3 linked regions of the Schizosaccharomyces pombe genome follow. Changing the gene in region 2 together with the main gene of any one other region gives a genetic interaction. Each region holds a gene or a part of one and is shown on either strand. Other genes may lie near its edges.

Region 1 (8,471 bases), on a different chromosome or scaffold from region 2:
TAAATCGTGTTTGTATCCTTTGAGAAAAGGACATCAAAAGGAATTCGCGATTTTCTCTTAAACTTTAATACAGTGCTTATCATTGATTTTAACTACATAATAATAGAGTTTCATTTCATTCTATAATGAGATAACTATAGTAGGTTACGAAAAAAAAAGTAGCCAAATTAAATCTGATGAAGTGAATATTGGCATAAAAAGAAGGAAAAAATCGGTAACAACTCTTCCTAACTTTTTTTTCTAAAATCAACGGATAAATGATATCAAAGCGGCAAAACGTTAGGCTCCAATATAAATGTCAAAAGGTGTAAGAAACAAAAAAGAAAGATTTTTTTAGGAAACTTTGCAGAACTTATATATCCTTTGAAAAGAAAAAATCTTCAATCATATATAGTTAATAAATCTTCCTTTTCAACAAAAGGTTATCTTGTAAGTGAGCAGCGTGCATGCTTTTTTCGAAACAGAGATATGCTGAATACAAGGGAAGAAAAAATATAACATGATTCGGATAAATTGTCTTTTAGCAAGTTGAGAAAAAATAGTATATAAATTACCAAGAAACCAGTAACTTGTAAATCTAACAAAATGAGAATTTGCTTAGGAATAACAGTTTCGGGATTTTCATAAAATTAATTAGAAGCATTTTAAATTAGCAAACGACCTGTGAACTCAAATAAGTCCACTCTCTTTTGCGAGGGAATAAAACAAAGATGCTTTATTTTCCAGCAGCTTTTTCGTTGAATCAAATTCGACTACCTTACCATGATCCAATACTAATATACGATTCGAATCCATCACAGTATTAATACGGTGAGCAATGGTCAAAATGGTACGATCGTTAAAGCGTTCACGAATTGTGCGTTGCACAATAGCATCTGTTTCAACATCAACAGCTGCAGTAGCTTCATCTAATAATAATACGCGTGTGGGTGTCAATAATGCCCTTGTCAAGCACATCAGCTGGCGTTGGCCTGACGAAAGATTGGCTCCTCCTTCTGTAACACGGGAATACAACCCGCCGTCAAGAGTCTGGATGAATTGTTTTAAGGAAGCAGCTTCGAGAGCATGCCAAATCTCTTCATCGGTAGCATTAGCATTAGGATCGAGATTCTCACGAATTGTACCTTCGAAAGCTTGATTTTCTTGTGGGATAATAGCAAGTCTGGAGCGTAAATCGTGTAATCCAATCGAAGTAATATTGATATCATCCAATTGTATGTCTCCTGATGTTGGCTCAATTAATCTAAACAATGCAAGCGTCAAAGTCGACTTTCCTGCTCCTGTACGACCGACAATACCAATCTTTTCTTGTGGTTTAATGTTAACACTTATATCGTTTAGGACTAGTGGAAGATTTTCACGATATCTGACACTGTAGTGATCAAATTTAATTGCACCATGGGAAGGCCATCCTTCTGGAGGACGATGATCTGGAATAATGGAGGGTGCCTCACTTGGAAGACCAATGTATTCCAGCATTCGTTCGACTGAAACAATGTTTGTTTCTACATCAACAGACTGTCTTACGACAAAGGTTAAACTTTGGGTAATCTGTACGGCATAAGACAACGAAAGACCCACTAAACCAGAATTAGGATTTCCACGGACTGCGGAGAGAACTCCAAAAAATGCAGATGAAAATACCACCAAAGCGCCTATTGCTTCAACACGAATTGCCTGCCATCTATTTGAACTGAAGTACAAGAACCAAATTCGGTGATTGGTATCAACACGAATATCGTTCTCCGAGATAAATGTATCTTCCATGTCATAAGCACGAATAGTTGACAACCCACCCAAAGACTCTTGGAAATGAGCATATAAAGGACTGCGAGTAACGCTATCAAGCCTTTTTAGCTCTCGAGAAGTTTGAGTATAATAAACTTGATTGTAACGATACAGAAAGAATAATGGAACAATTAGGATCATAAACATAGGAGAAGAATAGCAAATAACTGCTAGTACGAAAACTATTTGAAAGAGATTTCTGAAGAAAAACATAAAAACTCTAGAAATAACTTCGTCCACACGGTAAACATCGCTGGAAAATCGGTTTAATATTCGACCAGTTGGCGTGGTTTCAAAAAAGCTCATGGGAGCACGCAAAACCGCCTTTACCATTGAATCATGTAGATAACGACAGCTTTTAATAGCACAAAACACGGTAATGGTTAAGCTGCTAAGAGAAATCAATGCACAAGAAAGAAGACCAAACAATGTGTATATACCCAAGTAAAAGTATGGTTTAGGATTATAACCTAATTGTGTATTTACCTCACTCCAATGTTTAAGCCAAACATTAGTACCAACATTCATACCAATACCACCAATAATGAAAAGGAAATACAAGAAGATTAAAAACAAAGAGCACGCTTTAAAGTACGTCCAGTATACTTTCCACTTTACCTTACCACGTTCCATTTTCTCAGCAGCTTGTCCAGTAGCTTTGACATTGTCCTCGTCGGTTAACCTTTTACGGATCCTACCTGTTCCTTTTATGGTGGCCTTTGGATAATTGCTAACTGTGTCAGAAGAACGGCTAGCTGAACTCGTGACATCGGTAGAAGAAGTAATTACAGATTGAGAACGGGAGAGAGGAGTATCGGCTCCAGTAGATGATGCGGTATCCTTCTTGCTAAATTCCGAAAGTAATTGAAACAATTGGGAGTCTGGCGAAGAAGATAATTGAGTGAAGCTTCCACTCTCTATTATTTTACCATTTCTTAACATATAAATCATGCTGGCTTCTTTTAAAACGGTTAAGGAGTTAGTTGAAAGAATAACGCATCGTGATCTGAGTAAACCTTTTGAACCTAAAAGATTCCTAACTAAATCTCTATTAACATGCTGGTCAACAGCAGATAAAATGTCATCAAGAAGATAAATATCTGAGCGAGAATAAACAGCACGAGCAAGAGAAATACGTGCCTTCTGACCTCCAGATAAAGATATACCTTTCTCGCCAACTTCCGTTTGATCTCCATCAGCAAGTATCTCAAAATCACGCAACAAACAACAAGCACGAATGGTTTTTTCATAAAACTCAGGATCCAGTTCAAGGCCAAAGAGGATATTCTCCTGAATAGTAGCATTCAAAATCCAGGGTTGCTGAGCTGCATACGCGATGGAACCACAGCGGAACACGGAGCCAGAATGCTTCTGCATGTTGCCCAAACAAGCTTCAAGCAAAGATGATTTACCCATTCCAACTTTACCAACTATGCAACATAGCTCACCCCTTCTAGCCACAAAATCAATATCACGTAAAGTAGGTTCTGCGGCATTTTGTCCAGGACCGGACCAACTAAATGTACCCTTTTTAATTTCTAAACAAACTCCGGATGGTTCTTTGTTAGCTGGGTAGCGTTGAACAGCGTTGGAGTCCAATTCACCTGCAGTGAGAAACCCATAGATACGAGAAATAGCAACAGATGCCTCTAAAACTGAACTGACAACAATAGGCAACATGGTTAACGGAAATTGTAACAAATTGAAAAGACTCAAACAAGCAAAGACTATATCAACTGAAAGCACACGTGTCTTTCCATACAGAACAATGAAAGTACCAAACGTTGCGGCTGATACAAGAATAGGAGCAAAAAGCCAGGTAAAGTTGCCAATAGTGTTGACAATTCCAATCTTTTTCAACATGCGCAATTCTCTGGTATTCCTTAACTGCAGCAATTTTTGAAGGAATATGTTTTCCCAAGCATACAACTTAATGCTGCGAATATTGTTAATAATTTCAGTCATAAACTGAGAACGTGCGTCTTTATTTTTCATTTGTCTATTTTGAAACCTTTTAAAGATACTTGCAATCACAACATTACAAGGAAATAGTAAGAATGTCACAAAAGCCCCAGAGAGCGCACCGTATCCTACAAGATGGTACAAATTTGTGAGAGCTAGTACAATTTGGAAAGGACCCGATACAATAACAAACAAAAACATAGTTAAATCACAAACTTTTTGAGTGTCGACAGACATGTAATTTACGATATCTCCAACAGATCGACTTTGACGAGCCGCACTTGAGAGACGTAAGGATTTGCGATAGATAGCAGTAATCAATTCGGACCTCCATCTCATGCCAAGTACCATGCCAAGTTGGAAATATTGTTGTAACAATGCGGTTTGTACGACGTTGGTTAAAAACATAGCGATTGCAAGACTGAAACCTACTTGAGGAGGTTGTGGATGCTCAGAAGAATAGGAGCTAACAAAAATAACAATCTTCCTAATTAAATTTGGCTGAATAAACGCTACAACGTCTTGCACCAACTTCAAAACGATAATAACAACGGTAAGCTTCCAATGGTTTAAAAACAAAACACCCCACATGTAAAGACTACTTTTTTTCTTTTTTGCATGGGAAATCCAATTCTTTTCAAAAACAATAGTCAGATTGCTGGAACGTTCGGCAGGAGGAAGAGACCAAGCATCTGATTCAGTAAGATAATTTCTGTAACCAAACTTCATAAGAGGGCTAAGCCAACCAAATGATATCCTTGAAAAAATGTTGGCATAGGTAAACCGAGATGGTCTTAATCCAGTCTCTTCCAACTCAGCTGCATCATCGGGATACCAAACTCGGTTGGCAGGAGGCACGTAGATTTCAGCTAGAAGGCATACCAATGAGCAAAAAAAAGTAATGGAGGGAACTACGTTAAGCATAGGGAACATTGTATAATTAGGACGAAGTAATAAAACCAGAGCCGAGGCTAAAAACTTAAAAAGCCAAAACATCAACAAAGAGGCCATAGGTATTCGCAACGTAGGCTGCTCCACAACATGCAAAAACAAAGCAAGAAAATAAGTTATAATGCTTAATACATTCCATACACTTTCATTCGTTTTATAACAGTCATAAATATGGGTGAAAAGGAGAACCATAATAACTAAAGACTTCAGCCATATTGTCCAAAATCTTCGAAAATGAAAATAATGAGACCTTTTTCTAACCTCATAGAAGTACTGCAGACATCCACTGATAAGAAGGTAAATGTTTGGAGCAAGCCAAGTTGCCGATAGAAATGTGAATCCTTTGTAAGCAGAATTCATCCAATTTCCACCTACAAAAGGATCTAAATCCTGTTCAAGAACCATTTTGATAATACAGTATTAAACTGATTCAAATTCCCTGAAACAGTTATTTCCTGCGAATGTAACAAAACCTGAAGAGTGTTGGCTGAAGATAAGTGGCTTACAAAGTATAAATTTGTGGTGGTATGAATGAACATGTTCGTAATACATTTCGATTCAGTAACTAACAACAAAATATTACTAAATTTTTATGAGCAACTAGATATATTAATGGAATCCCTTAATATATTTTAATCTATCTAATGAGTTTATAATTTCATCGTTGAATTGACTAACCTTTCACAAAACGAATCTACATATTAAATATGGTTTTGACAGTTATGATTTTTAATCTAATGATATTCACTGTAAACAAATGTTTCTTAAACCTTTAAAAACAAGTTTTACAGTCATGGTAACTTCAAAGCAATTTCTAATCAGATTAAATTCAGATTCTAAATTACTATGCAATGTAAGTTGAAAATAAAATATGTATATAAGTTAAAAGTATTGTAAACCATATAGTTAGACTATAAACGTGGACCTCAAGGGAAAGTAGGATCAAAGTAAATGGAAATATATAAAAAAATGCAAAAAATGATAGGGAAATAATTGCATTAGAAAAGGAGAGTTATTTTACGATTCACTATTCTCTTCTACATCAAGTTCTGAATCAAAACTCCTAGCAGCTTGCTTCCAAAGCTCAACACTGCGCCATGCACGTTCGCATTCCGATTTTAACCGTGCGTTCTCCCTAGCTAGTTCTTGAATAGTATGATCAGCAACAAGTTTCTCCAAATTTGATTTTTCACGACACATTTCCTCCATTTCTTTAAGGGATCGAATATATTGAGCAGTCCTTTGAAGGATACTACCTTTATTTTTCTCACATCCAGGAACGATGTTCGCCAACTCTTTAATTCCCTCACTTATGGCTTCTCTTCTTCTACGCTCTACTTCTTTGTGACTTAATCTTTTAGCTTTATACCATTCCTCGCTTCCAACACATGGTTTTTCCATAGTCGTATTACCACTAGAAGCTACCGTTGAAGTCGTGGAATTTTTATGGGCTGTATTTTTCTTGGGAAAATCAATCTTTTCAGAGGGATAAGGATTATAACTAACGGCATGAGCATAAAAATCGTTATAAACTATGTCATTAGTAAAACCTGTGAGTTGTTCGACTTGTCCTGGTCCTGATAAAGGAGGAAGCAGATGATTTATGGACATATCTCTTTGCATTTTCTAGCCGAATTTATTATCTCATAAAACAAAGAAAATTTCTATAATAGAAATGAATTTTTTACAAGCATGAAGATAATGTAATGATTGAAGTGTTACCGCTGATGAATCCAGCCAATGTATTTGAACACTTTCGTAGTAAACCAGCAATGTAATGATAAGGGAGAATGAACAGTCTAGTAAAGAGATGAAAACACAAGGTAGTTTATGAGTACATATAGTAGCTTGACAAGAGTATCTTGATAAATGGGATTCTAAGGATAAATAGATAAAAGGTTTCTGAAGACTGGAAGTTTAAAAAAATTCCAAAACGTTAGATATGTAAAACAGGAATAAAAAAAATAAATATAGAATAAACGATGATTGTGCTTAAAGGCTGTCCAAAATTAAAGCGTTGATTTTCGCATCAACTCAAATTAAAAAAATTAAAACGAACTGCTATCAGTCGCAAAGGGTGAAACAGGTGTTCAATTAGTTCAAAGAACTTTTTCCTGTTCTTTCTAATGGAATGTTTAAAAATAATGTTGCAAAATGATAGTGGTAATCAAAGGCACTTCACGGATCCCTAACATTGACAAGCGTGATAAAATATTGCACTCTTAATTACCAAACTTAAAAGAAGAGTAGCAAATGTATTTTAAAAAGCACTTAAATGTTCAAATAGCTCAAAAAAGCAATTCACATCAAACTTTTAACATGAAGCGAGGTTCATTGTTGATAAAACACGTCTGTAAACCGCGTTGATATTACTAAGTAGAATCACTTAAGGAAGGGCTACGCTGCCCTCGTTTAATTAAAAACAACGCATTTACCAAACCTACTTTATTTTTATTTAGTGTCAGCTACGCAGTTTGATATCTATTTAACGATATGCAAAACTGCGTTGAGTTTTCCTTCTGACTACTATATTGCAACACACAGGTAATATTTGTAGCATCTGAGTTAGGTATTCTATTATGTAGGTTATATTTGTTATCTATCACTAATGTAATTTATAACTGAACCTCGTTTCTCATTTCATCTATGTCCCTTTATAGTATTCAGATAATATAGAACTTTAGATTATCACTAAGATCAGCCTCAATATAGTACCATTTATGGTACTATATATAATTAGTACGTGTGATATACAGTGATACACAACGTATAACATAATGTAGTGTAGTAATTTTACTACATTACATTTAAATGCGATGAGTTTTATTGTAACTATAAAGCCGTATGCATGAAGTATGAGAAGTACAGATGTAATAAATAATGTTGTAGAAAGAGAAATGTTAACTAATCGTTGCTTACTTAGCTTAATTTGTCGTACCAGCTCCATTCTATGATTTAATATTGCTTGTCATATGTTTGTTGCAAACGGCATATGAATATCCTAAAATCTAATAACTGTTAGCAATAGCAGACTACACTGTACTGCATCACTACATCGCACGTTATAAATTTACCTATTCACTGTAACTAAGAGATGATGTTGATAATGGATTTGCGAGCCGAAAGATAACTAATTACAAATTATAAAAGGTACCCAATTGGTTTCCCTTCTTCCTTTCAGATATTTCAATCATAATTTATAATAGCATATTCCTTTGGATGAACTACAATTGAACTGTTCATACTACCTTACATAACGAAAATAGAAGATCGCAAGAAACTTAACGGTGTTCTAACGGAAAGATAAACTAGGTTACGAAAGTGAACACTTCATAACTTAGTACGAAGTGTAAAATAAGTCGATAAAAAAGCATTGCTCCAGCAGTGACTCGAACACTGGGCCTCTTGCTTACTAGGCAAGCGCTCTACCACTGAGCTACAAGAGCTATTGTTAAGTCGATTCTTTTAGTTTAACTTGTTACAACTAAACGTCCTAAAATGATAAGTTATTAAAGGAAAGATGTGTTAAAACGAACAGTCAAAAATAGTAAAAAGCGGCAAACAGTAGGTAACCAAATTTTTAAAAAACCAATTCTCTGTATTAGCAAAGGAATATATTATCAAAACGTATTACATATTTAGCAAAGCAACCGTTTTATTTTCCTGATGCAACACAAAACAATTTACTAAATTTAATATGACTATACGTTATATTTTTTTGCGTGTAGAAGTTTCAATACCATTATTGCAATCATACATGAATGAAGCGA
Region 2 (6,882 bases):
CGAGAGGATTTTTATGTGCTCAATCTTGCCGAATTTACCAAACGCTTCTTCAATTTCCTTCTCGTGATAAGAAGAAGGAAGATTGCCGATGAACACATTACGGCTGGCCGCAGTGTTCGAGCAAAAATTTTGAATCGATTCAGGTAAAGGAGAAGGTCTAGCAAATGTCAATTTGAGTGGCCTACCATGAAAAATGAATCCACGAGGATGGTACCTTTCATAAAAGAAAAAGGCATCAGCAGAATCAAGAAATGTAATTATAATCCTGCGTTTTCCAGGGTTGGACTGAATCTTCTCTAATGGTCCAGAGTGGATAAGCGAAAGTAATTCGGAAATTTTGTAGTCAACTGGCAAGTTACCAAGGATTAAAGCACGAAAATCTAACAAGGATTCGTATTCTGAATTGAATGGTGAAAATTGCTCCGCAGGTTGTTGGGCAAACGGAGGAGGAGTACCTTCTCGAGGTAGGAAATTTGGACGGTTTACAGGTTTTGCATGATACATATTGTCGGTATAGTGGGCATAGGGCATCGGTATGAAGGTGTTTGCTGAAACATACATGTTGGGGTAATAGGTTGAAGGTGGAGAAGGATAAATGACTGAAGAAGAGTCCTGGTCAAAATGAGGATAACAAGGAGAATCGAGTTGTTCGGGAGGGGGATTCATTGATTTAGGAGCATACCCATTATGAGATTTCGGAATAAATTCTGCGGCATTGATGTTTACATGGAAAGAAGGATTAGGTGAAAGATTTTTGTGCTTTTTACCACCACAGTCAAGGTTGGTACATTCATTATTGTCCACTGAATTAAGACTACTGTTATCATCTTCTGAATCATTTAAAGTGCAAATGCTGTTGGCCGTGCCAGTACTTCCTGTCTCTTGAAAGCAGCAATCACTATCAACGAAGTGACCGTTGTTTGCTTGGTCTTTTTCAAGAACACGGTCGGTCTCAACTTCACTTCCGGCACAGCCAATTTTGTGCATAATAGCCATTATAGTGTTAAAAAAAAAGAATTGAGTGAGAATATGGATGCTTCAAAATATAGAGTGCTTTAGACTGATGAGTTTCGCTTCAAAATTAGTATCGATTTAAATGCTGTATTCGATGGTCAAAACTGGTGAGAGGGACACTTATTTATAGATAAAAAAAATCATATCGTGTCAAGTTTTCGTAACAGCTAAGCACCATTTCAAATGTAAACATTGCTATTTTCGCAAGCATTCCCCGCAAAGCTGTCCCACATTTCTTAAATAGAAGGACGAATCAAAAGGCACAAAGTTGCAACTCTAAAACGTCAGGATGGCCCACAAACGACGAATGCGACGGTAAATCCGCTGCCACTCTTCGCTAAAGTCGACGTAATGTACTTATTTTAGCGAGGCTTAATAGTTAAAATTACTTACGTCCAATCATAGTTGTCCCTTTAAGTTATTCGGTTCTTATTATGACTGCACAGTGACTACCACCAATTCCTCGCGAATAGTACAGTCATGATAAAGGGCTGGTAGACAGCCATTTCTAAGCCTTGAAATTACCTTTAATAAAAACCTCGAGAGCCAATAGACTTTTTGGGTGCAAGATTTACGATTAGCCAGCCTTCCCCCGCCTTTTAAACTGCCAGAGCAAAATTAAGAGTAGATAGGTATCCCCCATATCCCTTATACCGAGCAATGCAAATACTGATCCAAGGCAACAATACCATCAACCTTACGAAGAGTACTCAAAAATATTGTTAAAGAATTACGTATACTGTGTTAGATGCTTCAAATTGCCCGTCCACTTCTAGCATGATTGTTGCTGTTTTGAAGTTATCGACATTGTGGTTCATAAGGTTTTAGCTTCATAAAGCCTATTATATAATGTGATGCGTTTCGTTAGATAGTAAAAAAGTTCGGCTAGGGCTATACTTAATGCTTATTCATAAATTGGTGTAGACTGTATTCTGTCACAATGATGTACGTTGAGGCTTGATCTGATAAAAAAATTTGGAAAGAAAATAACGATGTCAGTAAGTTAAAAGTAGTTAAATTTGAAGTTCTTCTGAATATTTCAACCATTAATTAAAAATATTAATTTTAAAAAATAGAAGTCTTTAATGAGTTTATCATTTCTAGGCCGTTAGCGAAAGTCAGAGTTTGAAGGTGTGTTATGCAATTAAATATTGTAACTTTTGCTTGAAAGCCTCTTCAAATAAAAAGGATTTGTTACGTGTTTCTTTAAAACTTTTCGAAGGTTCCAGATACTAGGTTATTGCATTCAAGCTCATCAATTTTAGATTTGTATACCCAACATTGCCAGTCAACATCAAGTTCAGCCGCCTTTTATCTATATTTTAAGAAGACCCTTTACAAGTTGTTACTATGCCGTTGAAATTTGTAAAGCTTTCAATACAAGTAAGTACATTATTTGTTCCTCTATCGTGGCCGATGAAGGATGTATGCCTTAAGCTACGATCTTGTAAGGAGGTTAAGACTCTTAACAAAAAAAAAAGTTGAAACAAAATATACAAAATTCATACTGATTTTCTGCTTTCGAAAGGCTCCGTAAGTGGGGTAGTTTGGTACCGTATAGGAGGTATTCTTACCTCACCATTGTCACTCTTAACCTCTACACCACTTAACCTCAGTCAAACCAAATTAGCAATTGAAGCAGTAACAATTTAAAATTATCAAGTTACTTTTACCTAAAGTTTTATTAATCAAACTGGCATTTCTTTTTTGATTTTTTTGTAATGGTTCTACGTTACAACAGCCCACGCCTCAATATTCTTGAGCTGGTCCTTCTATATGTCGGATTTTTTAGTATTGGGTCCTTGAACTTACTGCAGAAAAGGAAAGCTACTTCTGATCCTTATCGTAGGAAAAATCGCTTCGGCAAAGAACCTATAGGAATAATTTCCTGGTGGATATTGGGAATTGCATTAACCTACGTACGTATTTCAAGCATTTTTCTTAAAAAATATATATATATATATATATAAGTATATTTTGAAAGAAAAATGTTTATGTTTAATTGTTTAACCTCGCTTCATATTGCTAATTTCATTTTTAGGTCGTTGATATCAGCAATCTTGTCATCTACGCATTGCGAGTTCCAAATTGGTGGCCCTGTAAAACCACTGTTGTCTGTTTAATTCTCTTCCTTTTATTTTGGATAATTGTACTTATCTCATGCGCAGATTCTAAAGCTCTTCCAAAAAATGCGGATTCCATACTAAAGGCCTACCGCCTTAGCGTCTTGTACGTTTGGGCTATAGACATTGTATTTGAAACAATTTTCATTGTCTACAGTCCTCATCCAAATGAAACATTTCAAGGAATTGTATTGGCGGACCATGTAGCCCGATTGGTCTTATGTGTTTTCGCTACAGCTATATATCTAACTTATAGACGAAAGAGACATACGCACGATCCCCTGGATTTTGAGGAGCGTCAATTAACAGAAGAGTCAAACGTTAATGAGAATGCTATCTCTCAAAATCCCTCGACCGTTCAGCTCGGTGTATCGGCATCAACCTCGAATTTTGGTACACTCAAATCAACATCGAAAAAACCTAGTGATAAATCTTGGGCAGAATATTTCCGTTCTTTCTCTACTTTACTTCCCTATCTCTGGCCGACAAAAGATTACCGACTTCAGTTTCAGATTTTCATTTGCATAGTTTTACTCTTTTTGGGGCGAGCTGTTAACATACTTGCTCCCCGACAACTGGGTGTGTTAACTGAAAAGCTCACAAAACATAGTGAGAAAATTCCTTGGTCTGATGTTATTCTATTCGTTATCTATCGTTTTTTGCAAGGAAATATGGGAGTAATTGGTTCTCTTCGATCTTTCTTATGGGTTCCTGTCTCTCAATATGCTTATAGAGCGATATCAACTAAGGCTTTGAGACATGTTCTAAACCTGTCATACGATTTTCATTTGAATAAACGTGCTGGTGAGGTTTTGACCGCCTTAACTAAAGGAAGTTCGTTGAATACGTTTGCAGAACAAGTTGTGTTTCAGATTGGGCCTGTTTTGTTGGATTTGGGAGTAGCCATGGTATACTTTTTTATTAAGTTTGACATTTATTTTACGCTTATTGTGTTAATTATGACACTTTGTTACTGTTACGTTACGGTCAAAATTACATCTTGGCGTACCGAGGCTAGAAGAAAGATGGTTAATAGCTGGCGCGAGAGTTATGCTGTGCAAAATGACGCGATTATGAATTTCGAAACCGTTAAAAATTTTGATGCAGATGACTTTGAAAATGAACGATACGGTCATGCTGTGGATATTTATCTTAAGCAAGAGCGGAAGGTACTATTTAGCCTTAATTTTTTAAATATCGTTCAAGGTGGAATATTTACATTCAGCTTGGCAATTGCTTGTCTATTAAGTGCTTATAGAGTAACATTCGGCTTTAACACTGTCGGTGATTTTGTCATACTTTTGACATACATGATTCAGCTACAGCAGCCTCTTAATTTTTTCGGAACTTTATATCGTTCATTGCAAAATAGCATCATCGATACAGAAAGACTACTTGAAATTTTTGAGGAGAAACCTACTGTGGTGGAGAAACCAAATGCCCCAGATCTTAAAGTCACTCAAGGTAAGGTAATATTCTCTCATGTTTCATTTGCATATGATCCACGAAAACCTGTTTTATCAGATATCAATTTTGTTGCACAACCAGGAAAAGTTATTGCGTTAGTGGGAGAATCAGGTGGTGGGAAATCTACAATTATGAGAATTCTTTTACGATTCTTCGATGTCAACTCGGGATCCATAACCATTGATGATCAAGACATACGAAATGTTACGTTGTCTAGTCTTCGATCTTCAATAGGTGTAGTTCCCCAAGATAGTACCCTTTTTAATGATACTATTCTTTACAATATTAAATATGCTAAACCTTCTGCGACCAATGAGGAGATTTATGCTGCTGCTAAGGCTGCTCAAATTCACGATCGTATATTACAATTCCCAGATGGTTATAATTCTCGTGTCGGAGAAAGAGGCTTAAAGTTAAGCGGTGGTGAAAAACAACGTGTAGCAGTTGCCAGAGCTATCTTAAAAGATCCTTCAATTATCCTTCTCGATGAAGCTACTTCTGCTCTGGACACAAATACTGAGCGACAAATCCAGGCAGCCTTGAATAGACTTGCATCTGGCCGAACTGCTATAGTAATCGCTCACAGGCTCTCCACCATCACCAATGCAGACTTAATTCTTTGTATTTCGAATGGTAGAATCGTTGAGACTGGCACACACGAAGAGTTAATAAAGCGTGACGGCGGAGCTTACAAAAAAATGTGGTTTCAACAAGCAATGGGAAAAACTTCTGCTGAAACTCATTAATCTAAGCATAATAACAAGCCTTTACTAATTTTGGTAGTTATGACTAATTTAAAAGGAGAATTAAAATACACTAACTTTGATTGTGAGTAATGCTGCTCCTTTCACAGAAACATTATGGTACTAAAAATTTTATCACTAAATTCCATACCAATGAATTTCTATTATTAATTAATTTATTAAATCGTAGTATGTATAAGTACCAAAAATAATCCCAAAACCTAACCCGATTATTTTTTTCTGCAAGTCTTAACTGCAAAGCTTTTGTACAATTTAAGTATTACTCATCTGCTGAAACCATTGACGAAGTGCAGAAGACAAAAGTTGCGGCAATTCTTCGATGTTACGAACCACCAAATAGTAATCAAAAGCAAACTCATCTATATATGGCTGAATTTTTAAATCCATAGTACCATCTTCTTTAGTGTCGTAGTAAACCTTTTTAATATCAAGGATGGACGACTTTTTCTGGGTGTTAACATTGTCAAGAATAACAAACACAATCATCACTTTTTCTTCTTGAGCACGCCTTAGCAGTTTCCGAATGCTATCATGATCTTCACAAATACCGTCTGAAATTATGATTTCTAACTGCCTTATGTCCGAGTTAGATCTATGATGGGAAGCCGTATTGGCATAGTTAAAGCATTTCATAGAAGCATCGGCGAGAGCCAAAACATTGGTATTACTTTGCTCAAATGTAAAATGCGAAAACATTTGTACACCACTTTCAGATGAAAACTGTTTGTCGAAAGGATGCAACAATTCAGGTTGCTCCCCAAATTTCATCACTGCAATTTGTCCAACTTCAAGTAATGATAATGCTTTTGTTACCAAAGCTAAAGTCTCTAACGCTAGAACTGTGCTGCCCGACTCACTCATCGACTTAGAATCATCAATGGAAATCATCACTTGATACGTCCTTTTACTAGGTTTAACACGACGCATCCATATCTTGTCTTTCTTGAACTGAGAAGCAATATATGGGATGATTCGTTTCATATTCAACCGTTTACCCGTACGAAAGTCTCCTTGCATCTTAGTGGCCAAGGTTGGTTCTAATATCAATCGAAGCTGTTCACATAACTCAATAGAAAGTTGCTTTGTAGAGTCCTCGTGTTTATTCCATAAATCACGAGCTTCATCAATGGGCATTGCAGCAGGAAGGTTAGTAATCTTCACATTATAATCAGGAAGTTCATCTTCAATATCCTCATCCTCCGATAATTCAAAAACCTTCTCAGACTGGTTGATAGACCCAAATTCCGTTGGAAGGGTATCTTCACCAGTCTGCTTGATATCTGAAATATCCTGACCATCTTGTAATTGTTTGTCTCCAACTTCATCAGCTTCATCTTCAGCAATGTTTGTACTGTTCATTGAGTCTGGATTCTGATTAGCAGACTCATCTCGATCAATACTCTTAATTTGATCTTTTTCGGCATTTCCCAAAGCTTGCAAATCCTCTTCCTCATCCTCTTTAACATGCATAAATTCAGAATCGTCAAATGCTTGACTTTGCGATTCAGTAAGAT
Region 3 (5,861 bases), on a different chromosome or scaffold from region 2:
CCAATAGTAAACATAAAAATATCAAGAGTACGTAAAATCCAATTATTTGCACAAGCCTTATAATGTAGCATCGGCGGATACATATAGATAAGCGGTATGCAACAGACGCTACCTACCATACTTACAAATAAATCAAGACGTGAAGATCCACTAAATTGTTAGCAAATGAAGAAATAAAAAAAAAAAGGAAAAACGTACGCCCAAGATATTAGGATAGCTAGAATAACAATTAAGACACGAAGATAATTCTTCCTCCATTTAATTTTTCTGTTTCTTTTACCGCTTCTAGTGAAAATTCCCTGTTCAATGATAGCAATTGCAGGAAACAATTGCAATGGGGTACTAAGCAAAATTGCAATAGCATACAAGAATTGGATAATAACGGTGAAAGTACTCTCTGGCATATTCAAAATAACCACCGTTTTGACCTTTGAACCAAAAGCAGCGTAAGACAGCAACCCAATAGAAATAAACAAGAGAGAGATCGCTGCCATCACACCTGTGAGGAGCTTAGGTAAATTCTTTGGTTTAGCCATCTGTTCTTGGATAGGCAATATCAAACAAATTCCTTCGTAAGTAAAAATGGCAACACCAATAAATAAACTAAAATCAGTTTTGTTAAACATTGCAACATCGGCTATTCCTTTAGTGGCTAGCGTAATCACGTCCCAGAAATACAAATATAATATCCCTAGCAAAATAAAAACATCAGCAATTAAAGCAGTAGCAGAAAGTTTTGATATCTTGCGAACGAGCGATAGAGGGACAAATACCAAAAACTGAATAAAAATGAAAACAGCTAAATGGTATTCTCGGTGAGTAGTGGATATAACTTTTACACATGCTTGTAATGTGCTAGCAACAAACGAAATATAAGCACTCGAAAATCCAATCTTAATGCATTTAGTAAAATATTTAAATTTAAAAACTTACCTGTGAAACCACGATAGAAGCAAGAATAGCAAATCGCATATGAGGACCATATAAAGTTCCCCCAATATCACCAAAACTTCCAGGTACCTTCATTCGAGTCTGAATGAGAAGTAAGAAGCAAATATGAGACAATACTCCCACAATAAGAAGGGTCGCACTTGAAAATACCAATCCACCTAATTTAAAGCTAGACATCGGTTAATATTCTAGGAAATAATAAAATAAAAAAACGTTAATTCCATAAAACTTACGCTTTGGGAAGAAAGAGTACACCGGTACCAACAAATGACTTTAAAAGTAGAAGTACAGCTTTTCCGTTTGAAGCATTTCCAGGCGTCTGTAGTTTGTAACGTCCATGACGAGAAATCAAAGGTTCTTGCTCAGAGGGAACAGTAGAATGAATCAAAGAAGGATTAACGTCTCGAGGCATAGCAAAGTCGTCTGTATCCTCATCTTCATCTTCTTCGCTAAGTTCTTCACCTGCAAAGTGACCGTAAACAGAGAGGAACTCAATAAAGTTGCGATTTAAAAAATTGGGATTACCATGAGCATTACTGCTCATCGAAATGCTACTGGCACGATTACGAAGAAAATCACGTCTCATTCCACCAGCTTGTTTCATATCCTGAACACTTCGCAAATGAAGATTGGGGTCAGAAACCTTTGCACTAAACGAGCGAGAACGACCACGACGAATCTGCTTATTTTGATCTACTTCCTGTTGCCAACGATACACCTGGCGGTGCATATCACCGCCTTGAAGCTGAAGAGAAGAAAAATTATCATCATCTGCGGCTTGTCCACCTAAATGACGGCGAACAACATCGGGGTCTTCAGATGTACTGGGAACATTCTCGGAATGAGCTTCATCTGAATTTAGAGTTACATCTTTTCCTTTCCTAGAGTTGTGATTTTCGTCTCTGATAGATCCGTAGTTTACAGGTGTATCTGTCGTGTTCTCAGCAACATTGTTTGGCAAATTTGACTCAGAAGGGGAAATATTTAATTTAGGCTTGTGGAATCCTTCAGCCATGGGGGAATGGGACAATCGATGAATTTGCTGAGAGCGACGACTAGAGTAGGAACCAGAAGCGAAATTCTCGTTAGAACGAGGTTTCTTTATTTTTATAGACTGACTATTACTCATTCTAATTGAGGAAAGCAGCTAGCATAAGAACTTTTCAAGAAATCAGTGTAAGTACTGCAAATAATATGTAACGTAAAAATGAAATTTTCCAATAATAATAAGAAAAACAATGAAAAGTTAGCTAACGATATCAAGAAGGAAACTACAAAAAAAAAATATGTAAGACCCAAAGTATCTGTGCTGGGTAGAACCCACTTTTCATTATGCTGACAGTCTTCTGACGATGTTACTTTGAGCAATAAGTCACAGGTAAATTGTAGAAATATCCAGCCCGGACTGATTGTTGGTAATGGAGGAACTTAAATACAACTTCTTATTTTGATAACTTATATATAAGATATGTGTAAGTCAAGATATGTGAGTGGGGATATATACTTCCATTTCTTTCTCCTTTATTTAATATACAACAGACTTAATTTCATCTCTTTTAGCTCACTTGCAGTATATTCATCTTAGTTAAATAGATGTGTTTTTCAATTTGATCATTTTAAAGTTGCTTTTGCTTTTACATCTCATTTCCCTATTGTGTTCATTCAATGTCCTTCATTAACGACTAAAAATGAAAATAGTAACTTTACATCTAATATTCTAATGTAAAATAAACTAAACGAAAAAAGATACATACTGCTTGTTTAAAGGCACAAGGAATTAAATTACTTGATATTCGGTTATCGGTTAAGGCAAAATGGATTAGTTCGTACTTCTAAGTACCACCTTTTTTGCTTGCAGTCTACTTAACTTTCAACAAAACAAATTTGGTAACACAGTCTTTTTTGAAAATCACTCTTTTAAAAAAAGCAAAGGGTTATTTTGTATGAACATTGTTAAACGAGCAGTCCCAGAATTACTGAGAGGAATGACCAATGCAACACCAAATATCGGTTTGATTAAAAACAAGGTAGTAAGCTTTGAAGCTGTCGGACAACTCAAAAAATCTTTTTACAAAAGACAATTGCCTAAACAATGTTTAGCTTTTGATTCATCTCTCGGTAAAGATGTTTTTTTACGAGCATTGCAAGAGGGACGGATGGAAAATTATTTTTCGCTTGCACAGCAGATGGTAACCCAAAACGAACCAGCTTTTTGTGGATTGGGAACTCTCTGCATGATTCTTAATTCGCTTAAAGTTGACCCGGGTAGATTATGGAAGGGATCTTGGCGCTGGTATGATCAGTATATGCTTGATTGTTGTCGATCGCTAAGCGATATTGAAAAAGATGGTGTTACGCTAGAAGAGTTCTCTTGTTTAGCTAACTGCAATGGCCTTCGGACTATTACGAAATGTGTCAAAGATGTTAGCTTTGATGAATTTCGGAAAGACGTAATCTCTTGTTCTACCATTGAGAATAAAATTATGGCAATTTCATTTTGCCGGAAAGTGCTCGGTCAAACAGGCGATGGACATTTTAGTCCAGTTGGAGGCTTCAGTGAAAGTGATAACAAGATATTAATATTGGACGTTGCTCGATTTAAATATCCTTGCTACTGGGTGGATTTGAAGCTCATGTACGAGAGTATGTTTCCTATCGATAAAGCTAGCGGCCAACCTAGAGGCTATGTACTTTTAGAGCCAATGCATATTCCTTTAGGTGTGCTTACAGTCGGTTTAAACAAGTACAGCTGGCGAAACGTTTCCAAGCATATACTGCAGCAGGCGGCAACGGTAAAAAACGCAGACAATTTGGCTGAAATACTTTTATCCATTAATCAATCATCAATTCCTCTAATCCAAGAACGCTCCAACAGTTCAAAGTCTGGTGATTTCGAGCATTTTAAAGAATGTATTAGAAGCACAAAAACATATCATTTATTTCTGAAACATACGAATACCAATGTTGAATATATCACTATGGCTTTTTGGGCTATATTTTCCTTACCCATGATCCAAAAAGCGCTTCCCAAAGGCGTTCTAGAAGAGATTCAATCTTTATTGAAAGAAGTTGAAATTTCCGAAATTAACACTCAACTAACTGCGTTGAAAAAACAGCTTGATAGTTTAACCCATTGTTGTAAAACTGACACTGGGTGTTGTAGTTCAAGCTGCTGTAAAAATACGTGAATACTGGTAGAGATGGATATTTCTTCTCGTTGCTTATGAACTCAAAAAGTTTACATAGAGCCATGAACAAATTTTTTACAATTATTATTATTATTTTTGTTGTTGTTATTGTTACGCATTTATTTTATATTAAGGTCAATTCTAGAGAAAAGTATTACGCTCGTGCTTTCGTTTATAATCCAATCATTTCTTTTTTTTTGTGTGGTGTTGTTTTTCTGTCCATTCTAATTGAAGTGTAATGGTTTTCTAAGGCTAGTAATTTTATTTTATTTCAGGAACAATGGTTGAAAAAATCAATTATTCCGAATCAAACAGATTACAAAACAAAAACGATGCGTACTTTTAACAACTTTAAACAAGCAAGGAAGACAAATGAACAAAATTCTTCTCTGAAAACAGCGAGTAACTATGAAAGAGAGTGATCCGGTTGCATTAGAAATTAATAATTAGAGCGGTTTATTTGTGTTTGTATATGCACCATTGTCGTTGATTAATTACAACCCAGCATTGAGTAACTAGCATGTGCATGCAGTGAATACGGAAGTTAGTTTAACCAATAACTGCTAAAATAAAGACCCAAAGATTTTTTATTTTAAATCGAGAAAAACAAAAGCATAACTTAAAATTTATTATCAAATCGATGTACATACCCACTGCTCTTAACAAATAAGGGGATAGCCTTTCCTTTATATGGCCCCCACAAGGGACTTTATGAATATTGGATGCAGCTAGGAAATGTTAGGACAACCCCCACTCATGTTGATACAGCGATTTCGAGTAAACTGAGGGTAGCAGAACTAGTACTCGCAACCCCTATGCTCTCTCCCCCACATAGCCCCTTAAAAAAGATGGGAGATTGTTTTTAAAGACAAACACGAAACAACCCGAATGATGCGTCAAATTAGCTGGTTACCTATATGGAAAAACAACTTTGAAGCAGTGCTACTTATTCCTTCCAAAATTCATCCATACGCATGAATTTGAACGCATTAGAAATACTGATACGTTGGTCATGGTTGTGTTTTGAGTAATATGTAGCAGTATGACAATGCAACGCTTTCAATTTAATAATTCAAATATTGTTTTTCGTAATTGTGCAGAAACGAGGATTGAAAAACTCACAGAAAAAAAATAAAAATAAATCATACTAAATTAAATTAAATTAAATGTTCAGAAACGAAAATCACAAAGAATCCGAGAAACGCAACATTACAAGGTAAGGAGTTAAAAGATTGTATTACGACTTGGTTAGATTCAAGAGATCCATTATTAGTATATGTATTTACAAGTGTATGTGTATATGTACGTACATATTTTGCGCACCAGTTAGTTTGCGACTTATCTGATTAGTTTGTGCCACTCCTTGTAGTTTACATTCACCCACTTGCACGACTGTTTTTTTGTCAATGTTTAAATCCTTGTCACATCAACCAAAATAAAGTTATAAAAAAAAATACCATAGCGAAATATGTTACATTATAGAACGCTGTTAATTTTACCTCTCTGAAAATCAATTACCCTTCCCCCAAGGACCACTGCGAAGGCTCTGTTGGCGATATCAGCAAGTCTCGCTATTAGCAGACTGCCTTGGTCTGTTAAGATAAAAGTTAGAAAGCCATGCTTAGTGGGGAAGCCGTTCGAACAGTCAGTAGTGGCGATGCCAACTATATGAGCCATTTTTGCTTCCAGATGTTATAGACTGGGGAACCATGTTAAATTGAC

What was found.
Region 1: mutations in hmt1 (region 2) and abc2 are lethal when combined (synthetic lethality), as found in Schizosaccharomyces pombe (one study listed by BioGRID).
Region 3: of hmt1 (region 2) and pcs2, extra expression of one rescues a mutant of the other (dosage rescue), as found in Schizosaccharomyces pombe (one study listed by BioGRID).

The regions. Positions count from the first base shown.
Region 1 is NC_003424.3:2,836,599-2,845,069, forward strand, and holds abc2 (vacuolar phytochelatin and glutathione S-conjugate ABC family transmembrane transporter Abc2), read right to left. Parts: upstream 5,191-8,471; 5' UTR 5,107-5,190; coding exon 670-5,106; 3' UTR 523-669; downstream 1-522. Other genes in the region: SPOM_SPAC3F10.12C (transcription factor), read right to left, coding at 5,719-6,324. UniProt on the Schizosaccharomyces pombe protein: Involved in vacuolar sequestration of glutathione S-conjugates. Together with abc4, required for accumulation of a red pigment (ade pigment) in the vacuole of a mutant affected in the adenine biosynthetic pathway.
Region 2 is NC_003421.2:1,913,396-1,920,277, reverse strand, and holds hmt1 (vacuolar phytochelatin and glutathione S-conjugate ABC family transmembrane transporter Hmt1), read left to right. Parts: upstream 1-2,606; 5' UTR 2,607-2,735; coding exon 2,736-2,933; intron 2,934-3,055; coding exon 3,056-5,350; 3' UTR 5,351-5,522; downstream 5,523-6,882. Other genes in the region: mug24 (rrm type RNA-binding protein), read right to left, coding at 1-996; mdn1 (midasin), read right to left, coding at 5,621-6,882. UniProt on the Schizosaccharomyces pombe protein: Involved in metal tolerance. Probably involved in the transport of metal-bound phytochelatins. Compartmentalizes cadmium within vacuoles, thereby protecting cells from cadmium toxicity.
Region 3 is NC_003424.3:1,946,862-1,952,722, forward strand, and holds pcs2 (phytochelatin synthetase), read left to right. Parts: upstream 1-2,816; 5' UTR 2,817-2,894; coding exon 2,895-4,139; 3' UTR 4,140-4,647; downstream 4,648-5,861. Other genes in the region: vacuolar amino acid transmembrane transporter Avt3, read right to left, coding at 1-150, 199-893, 934-1,120, 1,185-2,080.